Linked DNA regions of Arabidopsis thaliana. The protein of the gene in region 4 interacts with the protein of the main gene of each other region in a pairwise test. Each region holds a gene or a part of one and is shown on either strand. Other genes may lie near its edges.

What was found.
Region 1: the proteins of MUB1 (region 4) and UBC9 interact in a two-hybrid assay, tested with the Arabidopsis thaliana proteins (one study listed by BioGRID).
Region 2: the proteins of MUB1 (region 4) and UBC10 interact in a two-hybrid assay, tested with the Arabidopsis thaliana proteins (one study listed by BioGRID).
Region 3: the proteins of MUB1 (region 4) and UBC8 interact in a two-hybrid assay, tested with the Arabidopsis thaliana proteins (one study listed by BioGRID).

Annotation. Positions count from the first base shown.
Region 1 is NC_003075.7:13,915,026-13,919,345, forward strand, and holds UBC9 (ubiquitin conjugating enzyme 9), read right to left. Parts: upstream 2,476-4,320; 5' UTR 2,269-2,475; coding exon 2,109-2,268; intron 1,676-2,108; coding exon 1,548-1,675; intron 1,382-1,547; coding exon 1,277-1,381; intron 1,184-1,276; coding exon 1,040-1,183; 3' UTR 506-1,039; downstream 1-505. Other genes in the region: SLAH2 (SLAC1 homologue 2), read right to left, coding at 3,265-3,649, 3,737-3,768, 3,869-4,320. UniProt on the Arabidopsis thaliana protein: Accepts the ubiquitin-like protein SUMO/SMT3 from the E1 complex and catalyzes its covalent attachment to other proteins. Mediates the selective degradation of short-lived and abnormal proteins.
Region 2 is NC_003076.8:21,631,484-21,636,146, forward strand, and holds UBC10 (ubiquitin-conjugating enzyme 10), read right to left. Parts: upstream 2,765-4,663; 5' UTR 2,616-2,764; intron 2,544-2,615; exon of another isoform or gene 2,517-2,543; 5' UTR 2,507-2,516; coding exon 2,437-2,506; intron 2,080-2,436; coding exon 1,952-2,079; intron 1,836-1,951; coding exon 1,731-1,835; coding exon of another isoform or gene 1,704-1,730; exon of another isoform or gene 1,463-1,703; coding exon 1,319-1,462; 3' UTR 1,084-1,318; exon of another isoform or gene 965-1,083; intron 564-964; 3' UTR 538-563; downstream 1-537. Other genes in the region: AT5G53310 (myosin heavy chain-like protein), read left to right, coding at 3,174-3,396, 3,609-3,927, 4,432-4,490, 4,580-4,611. UniProt on the Arabidopsis thaliana protein: Accepts the ubiquitin from the E1 complex and catalyzes its covalent attachment to other proteins. Mediates the selective degradation of short-lived and abnormal proteins.
Region 3 is NC_003076.8:16,674,223-16,678,067, reverse strand, and holds UBC8 (ubiquitin conjugating enzyme 8), read right to left. Parts: upstream 2,227-3,845; 5' UTR 2,178-2,226; exon of another isoform or gene 2,015-2,177; 5' UTR 1,997-2,014; coding exon 1,933-1,996; coding exon of another isoform or gene 1,927-1,932; intron 1,586-1,926; coding exon 1,449-1,585; intron 1,287-1,448; coding exon 1,182-1,286; coding exon of another isoform or gene 1,047-1,181; exon of another isoform or gene 989-1,046; coding exon 845-988; 3' UTR 559-844; downstream 1-558. UniProt on the Arabidopsis thaliana protein: Accepts the ubiquitin from the E1 complex and catalyzes its covalent attachment to other proteins. Mediates the selective degradation of short-lived and abnormal proteins.
Region 4 is NC_003074.8:11,358-16,448, forward strand, and holds MUB1 (membrane-anchored ubiquitin-fold protein 1 precursor), read left to right. Parts: upstream 1-1,872; 5' UTR 1,873-1,968; intron 1,969-2,101; exon of another isoform or gene 2,102-2,367; 5' UTR 2,368-2,496; coding exon 2,497-2,629; intron 2,630-2,967; coding exon 2,968-3,132; intron 3,133-3,262; coding exon 3,263-3,314; coding exon of another isoform or gene 3,315-3,318; exon of another isoform or gene 3,319-3,570; intron 3,571-3,886; coding exon 3,887-3,890; 3' UTR 3,891-4,549; downstream 4,550-5,091. Other genes in the region: GAUT13 (galacturonosyltransferase 13), read left to right, coding at 1-247, 341-622. UniProt on the Arabidopsis thaliana protein: May serve as docking site to facilitate the association of other proteins to the plasma membrane.

The DNA.
Region 1 (4,320 bases), on a different chromosome or scaffold from region 4:
TAAAAACTTATTCGAATGGACTTGGAAGCCTCGGTAAACCCAAAACTCAAAATATATAGAAATACAAGTGTTGGAGTTTCGAGAAAGAAAATAAACTTTGATTTGAATCTTAAGATAAAGAGTTTTAAAGATTAACATGAATTGATCAAGCGTCCACTAGCACTTTCATTAAGCAAAATATGCATTCATAACATTTTTTTTTTATAAATCGTCAACAAACTAACGTGAAATTATAAAATCATAACCTTAATCTCAACATAATAAGCCCTGATTACTGCTTTAAACCTCGCCAACCTCATAAGCTCCCAACCTTAACAACAACATGTGTCCATCGAAGAGGAATCTAATTCGTGGGATAAACATTATGTTAAAATATACTATACTCCATCACTGAAACAGAACCTTGAACACAAAAGTGTCATAATAGTTGGGTTATACCATAAAAAAGTAACCGTTTTTTCAAGGTCTTTATACCATAATGTTTAGTAGCACTAATGGCTAAACCCGTTTGAGTATATTATTTGGGGAAAAGGTGATTTTAATAGTTTTACTATTTTTTGTAAATCTTAAATTGGTCAAACTTCAAAGTGATAATTCCTTTGTCCCATTTTATTAAATTGTTCCAGATGGATCACAATCACAATCTTAACTCATGAACAACTTCACTCTTAGGCCCCATACACCATTTACATAAATCATTGCCCACATAATACTAAAATGAAAATGTTACGTATGTAAGTTAATAATGTTTACGAAAACGGAAAGGCTTACGATTGTAGCTAGTTTGGGCTTTGGACAGAATAAAATCCAAAATAATATGAGCCTTGATAAACACAGAGACGCATCGGCATCACGCAATAAAGAAACAGCAGACGGGATGATGATTTACGTTTTACAATTCCATAGAATGGAGATCAAATAATTTCTTACTGATCCTGTCTTCACAAATTTTATAAGACAGACAAGTCTATAAAAGATCATTACATAGAAATAAGAAGAGTTTAATTATTAGGGCTCTTCCTTAAGGACAGTATTTGTGTCAGCCCATGGCATACTTTTGGGTCCAGGTCCGAGCAGTGGACTCGTACTTGTTCTTGTCTGTCTTGTACATGTGAGCTATCTCAGGGACCAAAGGATCATCTGGGTTTGGATCCGTTAACAAAGAACAGATCGATAGCAGCACCTGTTGCACCACACAAAATTGATGTCACCTGGAGAGCAAAGCTGCAAAATTATGGTTCTAATATGATAAAGATGAGGAAGAACAAAAGAAAACCTTGGAAATTGTGAGAGCAGGACTCCACTGCTCCTTCAAGATGTCGAGGCAGATGCTTCCATTGCTGTTAATGTTTGGATGGAACACCTTCGTCCTAAAAGCCACCTACATTTTTTGTAACAACATACATAGAGAGCAATGAAATCAAGAACACAGAGAAAAGAACAATAGATAAACGATGGAAGATATTAGCAACAGAAAAATGATGGCCGAAGTAAAGTTGGAAAAAAAATTCAAAGAAGAAGAAGCAGCTGTAGAGATTTGAATATACCTTAGGAGGCTTAAATGGGTAATCTGGAGGGAAATGGATGGTTACAAGAAAAACTCCTCCAGAATAAGGGCTATCCGATGGACCCATTATAGTGGCCTGCCAATGAAACATGTCTTCCGCAACGGGTCCTGTCAACATTTAACCAAAACTTCAATACCAAACCAGAAAAGCAACAACATGCATATAAGAAGAAGTTGGTAAAAGGGGCAAAATTAGAAGAGAACAACAGAGTTATAATCCTAAGATCTCATCCAAGGAAATCAAAAAATGAAACCAGATCTATCAACGAGCAAACAAGTTTGAACATTGACCTTTATGATTCATTCCTAGAAAAATCACAAACAAGTGTTACCATGAAGTATGCAAATTTCTGTTATTAGCAGCTGAATTACCTAAAAATCAAGGATAATTAGATCTAAGCTAACGAGAGATCAATATCAAACCGTCGCACACATAAAAAACCAGCTCAAAAGAAGATCAAAACCAACGACCCATCATTATCCAGCAAGAGGAACATAATTATTGAATCAAAGTTGATAAATCGACTAAAAGAATAGGTACCTGCGCTACATGAAGTAGGAGGATCCTTCTGCAGATCCTTCAATTCCTTCAAAATCCGTTTCGATGCCATTTCCAAAATCCCACGATCCAAATTCCAATTGAAGACTCTGCAATCGAAAACCAATCCAATGGTCAGATGAATTAAGAAGAAGAAAAACATAACCCAGAAAATTATATATAAAGACGGGAAGAAGATCCAAAATCATAACTCCGAATTCACGTTTTTGGTTTTGGTTCTTCGAATTTAGGAGAAGAAAGGGTGGTGAAACGGAAGAGAAGAAGAAGTTGAAAATGTTGTGTGGTCGCGACCACAATAAATAGGGTGCGGGTAAATTCTGGTTCGTTTGATTAGTGGACTCTGCTGCTTTATTCTTTCAGATTCGTTCGTTTTAAATAATGTCAAACTTTTTTTTGGGTGGGCCTAACTCAGCGTTGTACCTACGGCACATATAAAATAACGCGGTTGTTCGTATCATCATCATGTGGCGCCGATGTTTTCCAATCCCGTCGAAGCGTCGTCGTTTAAGTGGTTTAGTCAAAAGTCGTATGATCCGACGGCTGAGAGTTTTGTAGAACGAATCATTTGACGTAATTTGAATGAATTTACCATGCTTTCAAGATTGACCAGCGGTTGATGAAGGATGTTTTTTTTCAAAAACGTGATGTGTAGGAAATTATTACATTGTTTTTACTGTCATATGTCATATGTGACAAGACGATTCGTTTTGGTGACAAAGTATAAAGATGGAGGATGAATTAACATAACAGTGACATTAAGATATATTCGACAAATTAGATGTTAAGCTAGACATTATTTCCACGAAATATGATCTAACTTGTTAAGACAAATTGTGAAGGTTGCGGTTGGTGTGACTAAGTTTGCCTATAACTCAAATAGTTTTTACTTGAATTGAATCAAACAATACTATAATAACTAAATCTAACGAAAGAATAAGCCAAAGTGATTATAGTTTTTATATTTTTGCTGAAATGAAGAAGTAATTTATCATGATCAGTAAAAAGAATGGTATGCAACTAAAATTTACCAAAATAATTAAGATTTTCGCTAATTTATTATTATTAGCACTGCTATAGTGTTGTACATGAGAAGTTAATTAACAAAGATCATGAATTTTCATCACATTTTTTTTTTTTGTTAATTTGAATTCTGAACCGTGGAACTATCTACATTTACTAAAGGAGGAGATTCTAAATCTATTTGATTATCTTCCGGATCCAAAATCTTGGGACATCTCTCATTATTTCCATAACTTTCTTTTGTGAGATGTTTGAACCATCTCTTCTGCTTCGGTTGTTCTGCACTTATGGCAATGACAACGTCATTGGGGAAGAGATCACGTTGGACAAAAGCATGCATCACCGTCAACCCAAGCACAGCTATCACCGTCAGAGTTGCTGCTCCCGACATCACAACCGATAGTATCTTCGTTGCCACTCCCGTGACTTCGTCTGAATATTTGATCGTCGCACTGGCCACTGCCGTCATTGGAAACGTGTAAGCCCACCAAGCTAGCGAGAATCTGATATTTTTTGAATAATTATGTCAGATAACATGTATGTTATTTGGTTTGGTAAATTAGATCCTTGCAGTTCAAGAAACAGCTTACTTGAATCCCCGGAAAAGGTTAATCCGACAAACCTGAAACAAGAATCACAAGAAGTAAAGCTGTTACATTTCTTGTACCACAAGAAACTCAGCACTAGCTCACTAGAACTCTGTTAATGAAAACAAAAACTACCAGAGAGAAGTACAAGAACAAGGAGATGAAGTATGCTAGACGCGAACCGAGATCGAAAGAGGCAGAGATCTTGGTCCAGGCCATGGAAGCGACGGCTGGTGCAGCCACAAAGAGGAAGAAAACAGGGTGAAGCTCTTTAGGTAAGGTTTCATTCGTGGGAAGTCTCTGATAGAGAGTCACAAATAAAACCAAATAATAAGCCAACCCTATGGCAAAGAAGAATATTGGTCCTTCTTTCAACCCCATGGATGCTCCTAGAAGTGCTCCTGCAAAGTTACCGACAATGGAAAGGTGGTTTGTAGGGTTGGCGACTTTGGAGAGGCGTCTTTGTCCACCAGACATCCACTGTCCGTAAATCTTCATCTCAAGAAACAAGATGGGAGCCATAAGGAAGTACCAAAGTGTAGAGGGAAGATGTGAGATGATAGAGTGTGGGATTCCAAGTGCCAAGA
Region 2 (4,663 bases), on a different chromosome or scaffold from region 4:
ATGGAACACCTATCTTAACTAAACCAAAAAACATGGAACACTGATTTTTATTTTATTTCTTTCAGTCGACACCAATTGTTTGAATTTTGCGTTTGAATGTCTAGAGTTCTTAGCCTACAAGTTTCATGGATATCTAAATCAAACCTATAGTCCCTATGATTTCTTATTTTGTTAAACTTAAAGCAGATGTTTAATTTGGTCTTTTGCTCTTAACTAGAGTAAGTTTTGCCTGTTGGTTATCATTTCTAAGTTCAAACTGATACTCTTCTAATACACTGATCCGTGGGATAATGATAAATTTTGAAAAAAAGATAGTAACATACTGTATTTTCTTATAGAGAAGAGAAATTCAAAAATATTCTAATAGCACAACACTATTAAATGTATTTTTCTCTTACCTGTGGACTTGTAAAGATAATTTGTTAGGGGTGATACTTTAAGCTCGGACGAGCGATGGATCTTTGGTCCATCGAAGCCCATCTACATAACTTGAGTTCAGTCCATACCCATTCATCTATAGATTATCTGTAGTATTAGATTCTATACCACTCTTTTTTTTTTTTCTGTTGATTCTATACCACTCACATTCCACATAATCAGGCTATTTATTATTTTATTAAATACTGTATTGTCAAATAATTTGACTTCACCAAATAACATGTTTTCGTCAAACTCATGATATGATGGATGATACGAATAAGAAAACTGTTATAACTTATAAACAAAATAGGGTGTTTAGTGGTTTTGTACTAGTGAATCATTGCTGAGTTACTACTTGAGTTCAAACATGCATAATACATGTCGTTTAATGGATATAGGATTGTTTGTGATATTATTGCATACTTAAAATGTTTGTTGCATCACGTATGTAGTCCACAATCCACAGGCGCACCTTGCAAGGTACAAAACTCATTTTCTACAACATACGTGCTACAACAGAACGCATTGTCACCATGACGGGCATTGGCCACAACGATTAACTCAGAGTAAATTTGAAGACCAGTTGGATAAGTTTGAAGACCAGTTGGATAAGTTTGAAGACTAGTTTGATAAATTTGAACAACTCGTAGCAACTCATCACACAACGAAAACATCAAATCATAATTTCACCACAAGAAGAAACAACAGAAGATGATCAGATTCTAGTTTTCACAAAGATGATGTTTTTTTTTGTTTCGTTTAAAACAAGACCCACTTCATTTGGTCCTGTCTTCAGAAAGTTAAAAGGACACAAAGAGATGTCTATCGAATCATACATAGAAATTAAGGCAGATTTTTTTCTTCATAAAGAGATAATTTAGTAGGTGGGATTTTCCATTTAGCCCATGGCATACTTCTGAGTCCAGCTTCGTGCAGTGGACTCGTACTTGTTCTTGTCAGTCTTGTACATGTGAGCTATCTCGGGCACCAAAGGATCATCCGGGTTTGGATCGGTTAACAAAGAACAGATCGATAGCAGCACCTGTTAATTGCAAAGCAGTTGTTAGAACTGATCGATAACAAACAACAATTTTTCATCCTCAATGAGTCTAATAAGCTTAATGTTTCAGAGACAACCGAAATGAGTCAAAGTTTAATGAAGACAGCTCAATCTTATCACTTCAACTAGGGATTAAGGAGCAAAAGCATGTTTGATAAGAGTAGATTACTGCCTCTGAAGCAGTTTTAATAGAGAGTATTTGTTTTAAGGTGGGTTTCTATTGTTAACAAAAGAATAAGAGAAACCGAACCTTGGAAATGGTGAGCGCAGGACTCCACTGCTCCTTCAAGATGTCGAGGCAAATGCTACCGTTGCTGTTAATGTTGGGATGGAACACCTTGGTCCTAAAGGCCACCTAGATATCATCACACACACCATAATGAAGAACAATGAGATAATGAAGCAACCATAAAGAACATACGAGCTTTGGCAAAACATACTTGATAACAATTCTCAAAATATTGGAATCACCTTAGGAGGCTTGAATGGGTAATCCGGAGGGAAATGGATGGTTACAAGGAAAACACCTCCAGCATAAGGACTCTCTGAAGGACCCATTATCGTTGCCTGCCAGTGAAACATGTCTTCAGCAACAGGACCTGTACACAGAAAGATAAACTCAATCTCACACCACATAAGCACAAGGAAACAAAGAGACAGTTTTTTCTTCACAAGTATAACCAGACCCCAGAAACTAAGACAATGAAACGAGTTTTAAGCCTTTATAAGATCTTCACCAGAGAAATCAGAAACGAGATAAACCAAATTTAGTTCTAGCCAGATCTTAAAAAGTAAAACGAGTACTTAGCTCGAGATCGGTACCAAACAACACATAAACACACAAATCCAAACAAATCCAAGCATAAGCGAACAAAAAAACCGGATCTATCAACACCAGCTCAGGGAAACAAAACTTTTTAAGATGAAATCTCAAAATCCAAACACGAAACAAGTACCTGCGCTACATGATGTAGGTGGATCCTTCTGGAGATCCTTCAATTCCTTCAAGATCCGCTTCGACGCCATATCCAAAAACCTAAAAATCAAAAATCAAACAAAGATTCTAAACGAATCAGAGAAGCTATAAATCCGTGAGAAATATAAGTAATAGATCCAAAAGCTACAGAGACAATACCTTTGATTTTTCGCGTAATCGGATTGGCGAGGTTTTCGCCTTTTTCTTCTCGTATTAGAGAGAAGAAGAACCAAGACTTAGGGGAAAGGAAGAAAATAGAGATGGTGGTGGACGAAAGACGAAGAATACGAATTATTCTCTGTGCTCACGTCTACAATAAATACCGTGTGGATTATTTACTTTCTTTGACTAGTGGACTCTACTTTTAACCCTCTTATTATTCGGTGGACCTTGAAACGACGCGGCGCTTCTTAATTAAAACATCAAGTTGCATTGAAACGACATCGTCTTAAAAAGTCATCTAATCTAACGGTTGATATCCTATCCTTAAATCAAGTGGTATTGAAATCTAACGGCTGCGAGTTTATTATAAATTTCAAATCAAGTGGCATCGAAACGCGTTGCGATGAAGTCATATAATCTAACGGCTGAGATTTGTATCTTTTAATCGATCGAATCATTTGAAGCCACGTCTTCTCTCTCACTTTGGAGATTTTTCTAACGCAGAATCTGAGAATAAGCTAACCGATTCCGATTTCGAGTTCGTCGCCGGGAGGAATGAACCGGTTGAAGGAGCAAAAGGGGCCGAAGTTCGACGGCGAAGAATCACCTCCACCTGATTTTGATGAAGATCGAAGTGTGGGTGAGGTAGACGGAGGAGATCACACGCCATTCGCTGGAGGTAAAGTCAGAAGGAAAGCGTCTCGCTATAGAGAGCATCGTGGTGACTATCTTCACGTTTCTTCTCGTCCTGGATTGATGCGAATTCTGGAGAAACAAGGTTAGGTTTCTCCAAACTTTTGGTTTTTATTTGATGAATTTGAGATTGAGAGGCAATTTGTGAATCGAAGAACTTGGAGGAATAGTTGAATCAGCTGTAGAATTGTGGCATCGATTTATAGTTTCTTATGTGGTTGTTTGGATTGCTAATGATTGGATTCACCTTGAATTGCATGTGTTTGATGTTGAGAAGGTGATTCATTGTTGTTATAGGTGATACATCGATTCTTTTTGCTGATAAAGTTTTGAAGTTCACCGGCTCGGGGAAGATGAAACGGCGTATTTTTATCCTCACTGATTTTGCGATCTATCTAATTGATCCCGAGACTGAAGCTATGACCAGGAGAATTGCTTTGTCATCAGTAGAGAAGATGTGTTTAAGCAAATTGAGTGATAACTTCTTCGCTATCATTATTCCCACGGAATATGATCTCTTCATGGCCAGCACTAGGAAGACTGAGCTTGTTCAGGTCATGGTAGATGTCACTAAAAGTGCTTCTGACTATGAACTTGAAGTGCTTCTCTCTAACAGGTAACTATGACCGCAATTTTTGGTTTTTGATGTCTCCTCTTTGAATGCTAATACCATGCACATGAGAATTGTTTATTTTCATCTCATTTCCTGATATTGACACTACAGGTATTGTGTTACTGAGAACTGATGTGGGTCTTTTTAGTCTCTGAAACTTAGTGAGCTCTGTTTCTTAAGTGACTTGGCTATTAGTTAGTGGTGAGACCAGAGGATCCACTTGTACCTATTAATCATATCTATATTTATGGAAGAAGATAAAGAATTAACACTTTTAGGAGATAACTACTGAAATTAGTACGTTGAGATACAAATGGTTACAACTATATTTTAAATACTGTTAGATGACATATTCTAGTTTTGATTGAAACTGTTCTCAAATGGCAATCACGATAATAGTCCGTAGAAACATTTTGTATATCTCCCATATCGTAAAACTCAGCTATTGGTTTATATGTGCAGTTTGTGTTTTATACTGATAATGGTTTCTCCTTGTGTTCATTCCAGATTTGAGTACAATGCATCTGCCTCATTAGTAAAGGAAGTTTCTTTTGAGGAATCTGAAGGTTTGTATGAATAAGATTCTGGATATTGTGATTCAATCTAAGTTTGTGGTTAGTTTATTTGCTCATCAAGCTCTACCACTATTTTTCAGGGGGTATCAAGACCAAATTTGTGTGGAAGTGACTACATCTCAACTTTCCTCGCTGTTCATAAACTTTGGAGGGACCACTAGTAA
Region 3 (3,845 bases), on a different chromosome or scaffold from region 4:
AACGCACATACTTGACCATCTGTTGTTGAACAATGGAAGGGTACCTACCAATCAAATCAATCTGAAACTTTCCCTTTTCAAAACCAGTAAGTCGATGCAGATCATCCAACAAATTGGATAGTTCGATTTTGCTATCAACTCTGATCCCTCTTGGACTTGACCCTTCATAGAACGGACCATCAGGACCATCTTTAATACAACCATTCCAATAGCAGAACAACGGAATCTTTCTTGTATCCATGAACACCACAAAACCTTCAAATAGAAATAAACCCTAAAGATTAGGTTTTTTTTTGTTGTTGATGCAAAATGCGACATATATGAACTGTGAGTGAGGTTAAAGACTACAAATTTGTACTTAGCACTGTGAAAAATGGTCACTTTGCAGAAGAGAGTTTTTGTAATTTTACCTTTTCTTCCGCCGCCGGCTTCGGTGACTTCGTCGGCAAAAGACAACAGTTTGGTAAAATGGTCTGTTCTTTTTTTTCTCGTAGTTAACGACGGTGTGTCTACGAGATAGTGATTATAAGCTACATATTTGTGGTAAAATAAAATATTGGGAAAGAAAACAAGTCAATGAATATTCCTGACAAAGAAAAAATGAAATGAACAACAACACAATGTTTCTCATCACTCACTAGTAAATAAACTTTAACAAATAACCTTCAAGCTTTAGAATTCCATCTTCAAATTTCAGATAAAGATGATGATAATAAAACCCATAAACATATATAGTACAGACGAAAAAGTTGATATTTTAGACATTTTTATTAAAGTTAAAACAAGAAGAAGAAAGAAACAGACATGAAAACATAAACAGGTGCTGAAGCATACGAATCTTTGTTTAGCCCATGGCATACTTCTGAGTCCAGTTTCTTGCAGTAGCCTCGTATTTGGCTCTGTCGGTTTTGTACATGTGTGCAATCTCTGGTACCAAAGGGTCATCTGGATTTGGATCTGTTAACAGCGAACATATCGAGAGCAACACCTACCAATTGCATAAACATTTCCATTAAAACAGCTAAAAACTAGAGATGATGATCTTACTACATACACAAACATTCAAGAAGCAAAGCTTGTGCATTGAGCAAAATCCTAGCTGAAAATGTAGATGCTCTTGCTATACTTTTGGAACATAAACGAACATTGGAGAACCGATGTTTCTGAAAAATGAGAGTCACCTTGGAAATGGTGAGGGCAGGGCTCCATTGTTCTTTCAAAATGTCAAGGCAAATGCTTCCGTTGCTGTTGATATTAGGGTGAAACACCTTCGTCCTAAATGCAACCTGCAAATAAAAACAAAACAACCAATAAAAGTGTCAAGATTAAGCCAAGAAATTGATTTGATTTGGGGGCAAATACAAGTTTTAATTAGGTCCAAGAATTTCAAGGAACTCTACTAAACCTAAAGTTCGTGGTAATCTAAGAGTTGTTCCAATATTGAATACCTTTGGTGGTTTGAATGGATAGTCCGGAGGGAAGTGAATGGTAACGAGAAACACACCGCCTGAATACGGACTCTCTGCAGGACCCATAATTGTAGCTTGCCAATGAAACATGTCTTCAGCAACTGGACCTGCAAAAACTAAAACATAAGCAAAAAAAACACCACAAACCAAAGAAGGATTCTAGTATTCTACATTTCTCAACTCTTCTAACTCTGATTAGTCTAATAATTAGAGAAAAGTAGAAACTAATAAACTGAAATTCATCATAAAATCTTAAGATAAACATAAGCCAAAACATAAGTAGACAACACCACAACGCAAAGAAGGATTCTACATTTCTCAACTCTGATCAGTCTGAAAAGTAACTTTCACCTTTGTGATCTCTAGAATGCTAAATCTCTGGCATATTACCAGATAATCATAGATAAAGTAATGGATCCAACAAGAAGGAGAAAGATTTGAGATTTTTGAAGTGAACCTGCACTGCAGGAGGTTGGAGGGTCTTTCTGGAGATCCTTCAGCTCCTTCAAGATCCGTTTCGAAGCCATTTTCTCACTGAGAAACCCCTACAAAAAGTAATCCAAGTTAAACCTAGATCAATCCAGCTCAAATCCAGAAACTTTTTCTAATCTGATTGAATCGAACAAGAAGAGACGAGCTTTTTGAATTCCTACAAAAGAAGAGAGCTTTTTCTCGTGTGGGTTAATCAAAAGGAGAAAGCTTTGATACCTCAGAAAGAATCCTCCAAATTTGGTTTTGCGATTCACTCCTGCAGATGATTGGAAGAAAGCAAAACGAAAGAGAAAGTTTTGGTTTTTATGCTTTAAGAAACGGAAGCGAATAATTTAATTGGATAAACTATGATTTATTTTAGTAATAATGGCTGCTTAAGAAATATCTGTAAACATTATAATTTTAAAATACTATCTAATTTTTTTAAGAAATTATAAAGGGTGGGCTATATTTGATTTGACCCCACTTAGATTCCAAATGATTCTGAATCACGATGAATTTTCAATTGTAAAATTGTCCTCTTTGGTACATATTTGATATTTCTCTATTTCTATAGCCAAGTGTAGAGATATGAACGGCTGATTATATTTTTGTAAAAAATAAAAAATGAAACCAGATAACCAATCATAATTAATGAAATTTTATCTAGTTTTTGTGACATGATTATTTTAAATCTCTATCTCAAACTAATGTTTTATGATTCTAATTTATCCATACTAATTACATTTTATCAATAGAATGTAAATTTTATTTTGGAAAAAAAAGAAGTAAAATATCTTTAAATTTTGTAATCTCACAATAGTTGAATGTCATATTATGCGAGTCATCATGTTGTCATAGTGGGATTTGTATTACTGCAAATATCTAATGAACAATAATCAACGAATTAGTTATGGACTAATGAAAAGATAGGATATGCATTAAGATAAACTGGATTTGGTGAAAATTTAATAAGATAACTGGGTTTGGTGAGAGTGCGAGACTATTTGGCTCGGTTCAGTTTTATTCCAATTTCAAAAATTCCAATTTGGCTCGGTATAGTTCGGTTTATATCAGTTTCTATATTTCAATTTGGGTCGGTATAGTTCGGTTTATGTATTCATTCTTTTTGAGATGCGCAACAAGCTCTCACCGTTTCTCCTCCGCCGCTACCACAATTTGCCGTGGCCATGGGAATTCTCAGATGAGAACAATGAGAGCATTAATCGAAAGAGTCTCTCGTCTTACTCTGTGATCAATCTCTCGAATTCTCCTTACCGATAGATGGAGACGGTGTTTGCTTTTTGGGTTGTTTTCCGGTGATCGCATCTTCAATCAGTGGTGGTAATGGAATGGAGAAAGTTTCATCACGGAGATATGCTTATCTGGAAACTCTTACTCATGAGATTAAGATGAAGTTTACACGGGTTTGCCTTTCTTTTTAGTATTTTTTTCGCAAAAGATCGATTTGTGTCGATTGGTTTTGATTTTGCCCAGAAAACACTATTTGATTTCTCTAATTCGAGACACATGCGTTAGGTTATCGAATTTTGATATCCTCAATGAATACTTTTGTTTCAATTTTGAATCGTTACGGTTTCCGATTAAAATCATCTTTATCATGCAATCCACAGGTTGAGATTGTACCTGGTCTCTTGCTTTTTAATCGGAAACTATGAATTATGAATTCCAGAACAAACACACTGGGCTGATTTGGAGGTAGACGAAAAAGAAGAAGCATGTTGGGCCTTGGGCCTCTTAAGCAGGTACAATGAAAGCCCAGCCCAGCCCAAACCAAAACATTTCCTTTGATTGTTTTCTATAAATAAAACGTAGCTTAGGGTTATTTACTTTACAACGTATTGCTTGCGCTCAACGGACTCTTCCCGGAAAGAAGACATAAAC
Region 4 (5,091 bases):
AGATTTATCTCCGCTTTGGGATATTGACCTTAACGGGAAGGTTAATGGAGCTGTGGAGACTTGTCGAGGAGAAGACGTATGGGTTATGTCAAAGCGTCTTAGGAACTACTTCAATTTTTCTCACCCGCTCATCGCAAAGCATTTAGATCCCGAAGAATGTGCTTGGGCTTATGGAATGAATATCTTTGATCTACGGACTTGGAGGAAGACAAATATCAGAGAAACGTATCATTCTTGGCTTAAAGAGGTAAAGTATCAGAGAAGCCTGTAATGTTTTGAGTTTTAGATTCGAAATTGGCAAATTATTGATCATGCTTACTGGTTTTGCTTTGATGTGCAGAATCTGAAGTCGAATCTAACAATGTGGAAACTTGGAACATTGCCTCCTGCTCTAATAGCATTTAAAGGTCATGTTCAGCCAATAGATTCCTCTTGGCATATGCTTGGATTAGGTTATCAGAGCAAGACCAACTTAGAAAATGCGAAGAAAGCTGCAGTGATTCATTACAATGGCCAATCAAAGCCGTGGCTTGAGATAGGTTTCGAGCATCTCAGACCATTCTGGACAAAATATGTTAACTACTCCAATGATTTCATTAAGAATTGTCATATCTTGGAATAGCAAACAGAAAGCTTGCATATAATCTCGAAGCAGACTGGGGATTTTGCGGGTTCTGCAGATTTACTCGGAATTTAGCTGGACCATGAAAGACCAGTTGCAGAGCAGCAGAGAAAGAGAAAGATAGAAATAAAGATTCATTCTTCTGTAAAAATAGAAGGTACCCTTTTTGAGATTCTTTTTGGTTTTGAAGTAAAGATTCCAATTTTGGATCTGTTATAAGAACAAGGAAGGTTTAAGGACATCACCAGAAGAAATTGGATTTTGGTCATGATCACAACAGTCCAAGGACCAACAACACACTGTTGCATTTGCTCCACTTGTACTCTTTTTATTTTTTTGGTTCGATTTTTGACAGTTAAAATTCCACATATTTTTTACTAAATGATTTAGTTTTAGGGATTTTATATGGACATTATTGTTTTGTTAAGGTCTCTAATTGATCAATCATAAGACTTTTCTTGGTGCAGAAGATTTTTGGTCAGATGCAATGTGCTTATCTCCTCCTCTGTCCTCTCCTATCTCTCTCCGTTTGATGTTATTTTAGATAAGATATCTAACGAAAATATGTGTTTATGACAATATTCACTATTTAGTACTGTAAATACCACACTTTTTAATATTAATTTAATGTCTTTTGTAAGAATCTTACCATTTGACCCCAAAAAATACTTGCCAATTATTTGTAAACTTGGTGGGGATAAATTAATTAATGATTGCTGATATGTCATGAAAAAAGTAATCTTTTTAGTTTAATTGCAGTGATTTGTCCCACAAAAGCAAAAGCTTTTTACATGCAAGTAAATAACTAATTAAAATAAAAAGTGTTTCAAGAATTATTTGGAACCAAAAATAGATAATAATGATTGTTGATGGATAAATTAAAAGTTATTGTATTCTTTATGTGAATGACAGATATTACAAAATAAAGTTAAAATGATATATATGTCATGCAAAAGGTAATCTTTTTAGTTTAATTTTGCTGTGATTTGTCCCACAAAGAAGCAAAAGCTTTTTACATGCAAGTAACTAACTAACTATTATTACTTGCATAAAGAATTTCTGGGAACAGAAATAAAATAAAAAATTAAAATTTGTTTCTGGATTAAGTAAGTAGTGCGTTGTTTCCAAGTAGTGATATCAATATCAAATTGTCGAATTTACACGAAGAACAAAAATAAGGAATCGAGAGAGAGAGAGAGATAGGCGCATATATGGGAAGAAAATGAGAGAAAAATGGAAACTTTGACCGCCATTGAACACTCACGAGATCTCTTCTTCTTGTATTTCTTCTCTCTCCTCTCTGTCTGATGCGTGTTCTTGATTCATCGGCTCAGATCAGTCACCAAGTAAGATTTTGATTACACCTGCGAGAGAGAGACCTAATTAGGGCTTTTCTTTTTCCGGCTTCCTTTCAAATCTGGCTGGAGATTCCTCGTTTTAAAGTTTCCTCCTTTTTTTGGATATTCCCCTGTTTAATTGTGCATTCATGTTTAGATCTCTTTTCTTCTTCTTTAATTTCTCTCATCTTTTAACATTTATATGCAATCTATCTATCTTTTACATGTGTATCTCTTTTCAGAATCCTCTGTTTATTGCTGTTTTGCATGCCGATTCATTTATTCTCTGATTACAAGATCATCATCATTGCTTTAAACCATTATATATATAGATTCTCAGGTTTCTTGTTCATCTTCACAATCACACTTATTGAAGAAAAAAATTGTTCCTTTTTTGGCTCTTTGCAGATAGAATAAATAGCAAACAAGATCCTCTGTGGAATTTGATACATAGAGAAACTGTCTAGTGCTGTGGTGTCTTTTGAGATTTTCTTGTGGTTCTGTGGATTGTTTGTTGGTTGGTTGCTTCTTGGATAAATGGCAGAAGTCCATAATCAACTAGAGATCAAGTTTCGGTTAACCGATGGTTCGGATATCGGTCCTAAAGCATTCCCTGATGCTACAACTGTTTCGGCTTTGAAGGAAACTGTTATTTCTGAATGGCCAAGAGGTCAGTTTTTTTTTATGCTTATTTACTCTTATGGCTAATAAATTGTAATATCCTTAGGCACTGTGTTTTGAGATTGTAAAGGCTTGAATCTTCTTGGAACAATGGTTTTGCTAGTTATGAAAATCATGTCCCAATACTATATCTTATGCAAAAGAAACTTCACAAATTTTTTGAGTAGATCAATTCGCACAATGTTACTCACCATCCGTAGAGTTGTACCTGTTCCTGTGATTGCTTACTTGTTCTGTTATCGGTGAGCCTAACATGAACCTGTGTTCAACTCTTTGTACTGATCATACTACTTGTCATTTTGTTCTCTTGTGTTTGACTAATGATAGAGAAGGAGAATGGGCCGAAAACAGTGAAAGAGGTGAAGTTGATAAGCGCAGGGAAGGTATTGGAGAACAGCAAGACGGTTAAAGACTACCGAAGTCCTGTCTCTAATCTCGCAGGCGCTGTCACCACAATGCACGTTATCATCCAAGCTCCGGTTACGGAAAAAGGTAAAACATTCTTTAGATTATTCTCTTGTTTTCTTAGCTCCTTCATATTCAAAGAGACAGCAGCCTCTAGTGTAGGATCAAAATCTGTTGTGGACCTCCTGACAGAGAGATGGTGTTGTGTTTGAAACAGAAAAGAAGCCTAAAGGTGACCCGAAGATGAACAAATGCGTCTGTTCAGTCATGTAAGAGAGTAGCAAAATCTCAAGAGAGACTCATCAGATTTCTGGTCCTTAAGTTTGGTCTTTCTTGTGGTTAGTATAGATTGTTTACTAATACAGATACAGAATTAAAGAGTATTGAACCATTTTTTTTTATAATAAAAAAAAATAGTATAAATCAAAGCTCTACTCTAGCTTGTTGCAAGATTGAAAGAGATCATCAATAAATCAAGGTACTGGTGATTCAGTTCCTCTTAATGGAGTCTCTGTTTTAGCTCTATTTCTCAGTTCCTCTGCATTGGGAACAAAATGGACCTGAAACCCTCTTTATCATAGAAGAGTTCCAGAATATTAGTATTGTGAGACTAAAACTAGAAATATCTCCAAATCATCGGTAGAGATGAATTAAGTAGACTGTTGTTCTCTGTTGGCAGAGAATTGTGAGACTGAACTCTCAACAACAGATGAAGAAATAATAATGTATCATCAAAGATTTAGAATTGAAAGCAAAAAGAGACAAATAAAACAAGTTTAAAGCACATATAAAGCTTAAAACATTAAAAGTAACAGAGGCGATCTGTCCTGCTGTTGCGCAGGTAGACGACTAGCAGGGGAAGAATCAACGAGCATCAGAGAATGGTATGGAGGAGAAAACACATTGAGGCATAGGTTCCATCTTTTGGGTGGTGAGATCATACACAAATATTTGGACGCCACTGAAGTAGATAGAGTTCCTTTTGATCCCTGGGACGCCACTGGGGACAACAGTGATACCCATGTCATAGATCAATGCTTCATCGCCCAAAGAATCGACTTTCACCAATTTGCCACCCACTTGGTTTTTCTTCTAGATGTGAAAATATAATGTTTTGCTGTCTTGTACTATACTTGATACCACCAAAAACTCTCCGGATACTGTGACTGCAATGCGTGTCCTGGAGCGGCGTATCAATTTCCAATAGAGTTTTTGATCTTTTTGCTGAAGAAAAGGGTCAAAATCGTGATGATTGAACGAATACCAATCAAGAGACAGAATACCAATCAAGGGTCCAAATAGTGACAAGAGAATGGGCATAACGAAGGTAGAGCTTTTGATGAGTGTAGACAAAGTCTTCAAAACACTCCAAGGGAAAGTCGTGCCACTTGTTATCTCCTTTCTTGGTAAACACACGAAAGTCGTACTCCAACATTACAACTAGGTAATCTTTGGTTTTATTGTCCATCCGAAAACAAGCTCGGTCGTATCTTAAGTAACTCCTTAAATATGGCTTATTGCTATCGGGTAGATCAATCCTCTCACCAGCTAAAGGAGATCCATACTAAGAGGTTTCAACAACAAGAGCCAGCTACCACAAGTCGTCAGACAACGACTCTGGTCTCTGGGGAAAGTCAACACCAAGTTCTCTACTTCTGTAAACGTTGTCTTGATCCTCCGGAACGTACAACACACAACTACTACTGTGTTTGTTGGATTCCTCCTTGGGAGAGAAGAGAATCAGCCATGGAATCTGATTTTGGTCAGGGCCGCAGCCTCTCGAAGCAGAGTGCCACTACCGATTTAGCTCGATTAAGAGATATCAAACTCAATCGTTTGAAAACACATCGCAGCAAGTCCGGACATAGCTCCGACCCGTTTGCTTCTTTTTCTTCTTGTCTCCCACGATTTGCTTTTTTTTTTTGCTCAAACAAACATCTATTTCGATAGTGAAACCCTAAGCGCTATATAAATTTGTTGTAATTATCAAAAATGAAGACGTCAAATATAAAACTCTTGATGAAATTGGTTCTGATATCCTCTACC